2 linked regions of the Kluyveromyces lactis genome follow. The protein of the gene in region 2 purifies or fractionates together with the protein of the main gene of each other region. This does not show direct contact. Links are inferred from orthologs where the notes say so. Each region holds a gene or a part of one and is shown on either strand. Other genes may lie near its edges.

What was found. Proteins that work in one complex are often made in the same cells at the same time.
Region 1: the proteins of CIC1 (region 2) and NOP12 purify together in Saccharomyces cerevisiae (affinity purification with mass spectrometry, with the first as the bait; 3 studies listed by BioGRID). This does not show direct contact. The link is inferred for Kluyveromyces lactis from reciprocal best matches to the Saccharomyces cerevisiae genes CIC1 and NOP12.

What each region holds. Positions count from the first base shown.
Region 1 is NC_006042.1:734,101-737,600, forward strand, and holds NOP12 (rRNA-processing protein NOP12), read right to left. Parts: upstream 2,178-3,500; coding exon 789-2,177; downstream 1-788. Other genes in the region: SYN8 (syntaxin), read right to left, coding at 1-435; Rpd3L histone deacetylase complex subunit DEP1, read left to right, coding at 2,954-3,500.
Region 2 is NC_006042.1:2,032,419-2,036,007, forward strand, and holds CIC1 (Cic1p), read right to left. Parts: upstream 1,848-3,589; coding exon 717-1,847; downstream 1-716. Other genes in the region: KLLA0_F21824g (transcription activator GCR1-like domain-containing protein), read right to left, coding at 1-131; ELF1 (Elf1p), read left to right, coding at 2,750-3,265. UniProt on the Saccharomyces cerevisiae protein: An adapter protein that specifically links the 26S proteasome to its substrate CDC4 which is one of the substrate recognition subunits of the SCF E3 ubiquitin ligase complex. Required for turnover of cell cycle regulatory proteins CDC4 and GRR1.

The DNA.
Region 1 (3,500 bases), about 1.3 Mb from region 2:
AAATAATTCCTTTCTCTTGACCTCCAATAAATCATCTACAACTGTAGATGAAGACTCATCATCTTTATATGGTTTAAACTTCTGTTCGGGTTCTTTATGCTCTTCAACTAATCCGTCTTTAAACCGTACCTTCTTTGTTTCTCTCAGATTAGGCTTTCTTTTGAATCTATAGAGTTCCTTGTCAATGACTGTTTCTGGCAAGCCTTCAATGATATCATTATAAGTTTTAATCTGATGATTAAATCTATCATCTTCAGAAAAGGGTACATCATCTTCATAATCTTTGAGCAAATCAAGTGTATGGTTTATATGTTTCTTAAGTTTTATGTTATCATTTTTAGATGGTTGCATGTGAAGGACATCCATTAACCTGTCTCTCTCATCCACAATCTCTATTAATTTATCGATTTCATATTCGACCTTCAAACCATTCATTTTTTTATATCTATCGTCCCTCTTTCTCTGTAGATAATACGCCTAACATTAAGCTTCGCATAGGTGTTGGCTGCGTTAGGTTACGAAATGCCACTTATTTTTAACACGAGCTGTCTCTTATGCCAACGAATCACATTTAAGGTTCTCCGGTATATAGCATAAAATATCGAATAGTCAAAGAATTAATAGGACAAAAGAGATTACCCGGAACAATAATTGACAGTAATTCCCCAGTTGAAGCACCAAGACCAATTGCAAGCCAAATCGGAGATACAACAAGTGTCTGTCTTATTGAAAAGTTGGATTATTTATCCATATGTACACTATACTATAATTGTTAAGGTTGTGCTCCATTATTGAGCATTTTGTTTCTTAAAAGCTATCGAACGCTTAGTAACTCTTCCTGTCTTTGATCTGTTCTTTGTTCTTTTTAGTACAGGGGTGGTTTCTCCCTTTGAAGCTCTTAAACCCTCAATTGTCAACTCTTCACCTAGCTTAGCCCTATCAGCCTTACCTAACACCTTCTTAGCTCTTCCCAGTTTTGTCCTTTGTTGGTCGTTTAATTTATTATTTTGTAGGGAAGATTGGTTTCCTTGGGCCTTTCTCATATTCTTGCATCTAGAAATTCTTAGCTTTCTGGCCTTCTTACCTTCATGGATCTTCTTTTCATGTAGTAGTAACGCTTTACTCACTGATTGGAAGTCCTTAAATTGAACGTATGCGAAACCTTTACCCATGTTCGTCTTTGAATCACGAATAATACGAACATATTCAATGTCACCACAAGGTTCAAAGTGCTTCCAGAGACTTTCTTCCACTTCTTCAAAATCCAAATTACCCACGAAGACTGATCTTCTCTTATCATGTGGGGAGGGGTGTGTAACCGAATCCACTCTCAAATGATGGTCGTTGAACACTTTACCGTTCAGATATTGGCACATAATCTTGACCGGATTGGAGCTCCCATATACGGCATATGCGTTGATCGAATCTCTAGATTTGTGAAGCTTTTGATGAACAAATGCAACTTTTCTTGGCAATGCTTCTTCGAATGCAATGGATCTGAATCTGATACTTTCCACATTAAACTTAACATCTTTTGTCTTACTTTCTTCTTCTTCTTCGTCTTCTTCTCCGTCATCGTGGTCATCATTCTCGCTACGGGGATCCTTGGAGAGAAGTTTCTTAAATTCTTTGTAAACTTTCTTTGATGTGATAACCTCATTTGGTACATTCCCAATAAAAATTGTTCTCTCAGCCTTGGCTAGTTCCTTTTCTTTCAAATTGATAACTTTAGCAGATTCAGATTCCGTGCCGGTAATCGAAGACTTATCGACTGCAGTTGCTTCATCTTCATTATCACTATCGGAAGAGTCGTCCTTAGGTTCATCCTTAGGTTCATCTTTAGATTTAGAATCACCTAATACCTTAGAATAATATTGAACTTCCAAATTATCATTCTCTTCATCATTCTTCTTGGTCTTCTTCTTTTTCTTCTTCGGCTGTTCTTCCTGTTCTTCCTGTTCTTTCTCTACTCCTTCGGAGACAGTAGAAGCACTTTCCTGGACATTCTCTTCTTCTTGTTCATCCTTATCCTGTTCAGGCTCAGTTAGCACAGTCCTAGCTTTCGACTTTACTTTACGCTCATCGACATGATTAGGTTTGGAGAATAACGCTGCAATCGATGATGTACCTGCCGCGTCTGATTTGGAATTTCCAAATAAATTGTTCAATGCGGACATCCCGTAATATAATTTTGGTTTGTTATGTTTGAAAGACCCTGGTTCACCAACACAAACGTTATTCCTCTGCACTAAACCTGCTGGTGGCTGTCCAAGTCTCTTCGATGCGATGAGCTTTATCCATTTGTCTGTTGAATTATCGAAAGTGAAAAACCTGCACTTCCTAGAAAAGCCAGCAGAAATCATGAATTTACCACCAAAAAGAAATGCGGAAGAAAAGCGTACGCTCTATGGACAAATCGAATGTATCGTAGTCACGTGATTAACACCGTGGAATGTACTATATGGCCGGGTAACATCATGTTCCTTTTCCTTAAAAAACGTACAAACTGTAAATAGTGCTGAAATGCCGAAATATAAGTTAAGAATAAAAATACAGTCTGATTTTAGCATGAACATATAGTTATGGCCAGTCAGCAATCAATACATAGATCTCATCCAAACGTGATTTAAAATATTGTGTACTACTAAGAATAGAGAGAGATAACTGTTTTGCTAGTAAAAATAAGAATTACGCGAAGTAAGGTATATTTGCAGCCCTTTGTTTTAGTGTGTCAGGTATCAACTTTCAATCTATTCAAGCAGCAATTCTTAACTTATACTGCGCATATTAAACGGTTTGCTGGTTAAATTTTGTGTGTTTCTGCATTGGAGTATAAGCTAAGTGTTTTTTCTTTGCCATCAGCCGATTGGAGTAATACAAAGGTTGTATTGGTTATATGCGTTGGGATTTCTTTCTTTTTGAATTCAAACGGTACTATCTTTGAATCATTCAAATGGAGCCAGAGAGAAACAAAAATAACAGTGTAGAGGCTGCGAGTGAGATTGACGATCATAATACCAGATCTGCCCCCACTACGAAACTTACCAAAGAAGTTTTAGAGAAGATTGCTTCGGATTCTGATTCTGTTAATTTTAACGCAAATAGTTATTCAAGGAAATCGAAATCAGGGAGTCCCTCAAAGGTTGGTACATTAGAATACGACGATAACAGTACCAGTGGATTATCTAAGGTCACTTCTCCAGAACATCCAAACTCAGTCTCTCTATCGGACATATACATCTCATCAGACGCTGAGACCGAAAAGATGGATTTAGAAGAGGACGAATCACGTGTCAAACTATCGGAAATGGCATCCAATTCGATTGAAAGTAACGGTAATGACAAAAGTAAACAAAATGATGATAATCTTTCGAAGACTGTAAAACAAGAGTACATCAATAATGGTGTCGGTAGTTATATTCAAGAATCTGCCCCTAAACTTGCTACTCCTTCAAAAGATGAGGGACCAATCGTTCAGCAAGATAAACCAGCCGAAACAG
Region 2 (3,589 bases):
AGGGCAATTTGACCATTGACACTTTGACACTTGCTATTACACACTGCGTCGCATAAAACGTTCCAATCAGTTTGTAAAGTGTCTACTCTGCTTTGGAATGTATGAATTATTCGTTCAATATTCTGTGGCATCTCATTTGATTCTCGGCGTCTTCGCAATGCAATCAAAACTTGAAAATACTAATTGATTCAGATGTAAATAATAGTGTATATACTAAACTACGAATAAGCACGAATAACAGAGGTGATGATGTGAAAGTTTGTGAAATCTGTGGTTTATATAATATTTGACATATGTTTAATATAGTAATTAAATCTTTTTGTGACACTTTTATTTTTCGTTTTTCCTTTTCCTTCACTGACTGCATGGACGCACCAGTCCACACAGAAAAACCAGCAAACCTAAATGTGGCACATCAGAAAAGTTGTTCGAGCGGCGATGGGTTTGCACCATCCAAACAATACTAGGAATAACGTTTTCCTGCTGGTTCGAAAACGCACTGAATTTAACTACTGTTATTCTTTTATGAATTGCAAAGTATCGATGCTATCTGGAAAATTTGAGTACAGATTAAATACATTTTGTAGGGAAAACTATCATTGTAGGAGCGGTGACAGCCGTTAAATCTATGCTAAATGGGTAAGTTTTAAGACGATATTTGTGAAGGATAGAAATTAAGAAAGAGGAATGAAAAAAAACGCGATACTCCTGTACCTCTAATTTTTTACGTTTTTATTCTTTGTCTTTTGTCTTTTAGCGCTGGATTTTTGTTCTTTCGTTTGCTCTTTCTTTTGTTCTTCTTGCTCTTCTTCTGCCTCGACCTCTTCCAAGTTTCTTTTGGCTTGCTTAATTTGCGTAGCAAACAAGGAGTCTAGTTCGTCTGGATTTGCAATTTCTAACAAAGATTTCTCAAATTGTGATAGTTGCAATTCGACACCATCAATTTCTATGACATTTTGAACGGAAGTCTTAGCATCATGTCTGGACCCAACCAATTTGTCTAATACTTCCAAATTAACGTATAATGGAAGGACTGGTGATTCGTTAGATTTGAGAAGAATGGTTCTGATATTGTACTTTTCGATGAACTGTTTAGCGACAGAAATGATATTTTCAGTCAATTGTTCTGGGGTGAACCATTCCAATGAACCTAGATGAACATTCATCGTGTTACCTCTTGGAAGTTTGACTGGGATTTTAGTATCATAAATTCTCTTGATGCTATTTACCAAAGTTGTCTTGTTAAACTTGTTATCCGATCTTGTGTTAATGGCAATTGGAGTGGTATTCAACTTACTGTATGCTTTACCACCTAATAGCTTGGGCAAAGCTGTCACTATCGAGTCATCAGCTAGAATGAAAGAAAAATCCTGTACAAATGCACGCCTCTTTTCAAAAGCCTTGTATTTTGTCTTCAAATCTTTACCAGATATGATGGCATCAATAGTAATATGTTCTGGAAGTAGATCGATCAAGTCTTCTGATGTCACTGAATTGATATCAGAATCTTTTAGAATCAAAAGAGTCTTGAAATCTTTAACCATGGTGGTGCTAGCTTCCTTCCATGGCTTGAAGATAGAATGAGGAACTGTAATTAGTTTTGGTTTGAAGTTTTTCAAAGAACCAGTAAAAGATTCAGTGTTGACTAGGATCAACTGTAGCTGAGCCTCCAATTCAGAATCATCAATTAACTGATTGTCATTTGATCCATTTTCCTTCAAATATTCTTGCAATTTAATAACAGCATTGTTAACTCTGTTAACTGGAATGACTTCTTCCTCTTTACTGCCCTTAGTAGCCTTGGTGGCTTTGGTCGAAACCTTGCTTTTCTTAGTTTTAGTTGCCATATTATCTAAACTTTGATATTGCTTATAATGTGCTTGTAGATATACTAGACTGGATGAGTGGAGTTATTTCCTCTATATTCTGGATTCTTTCCAAGCGTTTTTTAACTTACTTGATTCGCACTGTCTCAGAAAAAGATCAACAAATTGTTGGTTCACCTAGGTAAGCTTACTTCTCGAGTTCGTACTGGCAACTATGAAATATCCAGTATATATCTAATCAATCCTTTGAGCTGAGAAATAAGAATAGGTACTTAAATACTTTACATACCATTACTTTATTAATCGTGTTAGGTGTGCAACATACTTCGAGATGAGATGAGATGAGCTATGATGAGATGAGCTCTCTATTGTCAAAAATAAAAATTTTCTGTTTCGCAGGAGCTCCACTGTGTTCACGTAGTTAGTAAATATTGCTTTTTGAAAGCGAAGGCCGTAATATATGATTTGAAACTTTTCTTGAAATTTGATAACATTTGACACTTAAGAAATAAAGAGTAACCGAATCTGATATTGAATCTCGGTGCGTGTTTGTGCAAAAGTTACTAATGAGCAACGGGCTACGTTCAGTGAATGGGGTTACAATACAAAAGGGCTTAAACTGTGTATTTTAGGGTTTCTTTCTCTGGTTTATTTCGGAACAGTACTATTTTTGAGTTAGGTTTTTTCGGCTGTCAAACAGGACTCACGATCGATATAAAGGATACCTTAACAGAGAATACGCCGCACGAATCTGATTTATGAGTTATTAAGTTGCTATTATTATTATTATTATTATTATATCGTAAACATAGTCATCGTCCCCGTTCATTTATACTGCAAAAGGCATATTAGCATATATTAATCAAATCTAGCCGCAGGGGTAAGCATACGCTCTCACAAGACAAATAAGAAGAGCATTAGACATGGGTAAGAGAAAGAAGTCATCCAGAGGTCCAGCCAAGAAGATAGTACAGAGGTTAGATACGGCATTCAATTGTCTCTTCTGTAATCACGAACGCTCTGTGAGCGTAACAATGGACAAAAAGAATAACATTGGCTCGCTTCATTGTAAGATTTGTGGACAATCGTTCCAAACCCGCATTAATGGTCTATCACAACCGGTAGATGTATATAGTGACTGGTTTGATGCGGTTGAGGAAGTTAACGAAGGGAAACATAGCGAATCTGAAGATGAAAACAGTGACAGTGACTACGAGAGTGACTCTGATACTGAGCCTTCTTCAAACCGTAGAAAAGCTGTTGGAATAGATTCTGACGAAGAAGAAGAAGAAGAACAAGAAGAAGACGAAGATGCGGATTACGGAAGAAAAGGAGCGACCGAACGAAAAGACTCAGAACCAGAATCAGACTCAGACGATGACGGTAAAATATCTAACAAAAGAGGAAGAGCAGCATGGATGGACAGTGATGACGAGTAGTCGAACCGACAGAAACACAGACATCGAACACCAATATTAATCTTACAATTGTATCTATCTATCTATATATTACCCAGAGATATACTAGTAGAACGAATAAAATCAGGTATAAAGGAGCTGATATTTACGTTCAAAGAGATTGCTGGATCTTATCTGTTTCCTATAAGAATTTATATAACGCTCACCTTGGCTTTAACCATCGGTTGATAGTATTCAGTTTGTACTGCAGAAGAATTTATATATCAATTCTACATCAATAATAGTATCTTTGGTATATCGAACTTCTCAGTAATGTGGCATTATTTCTGAACTAGATGGTGATAC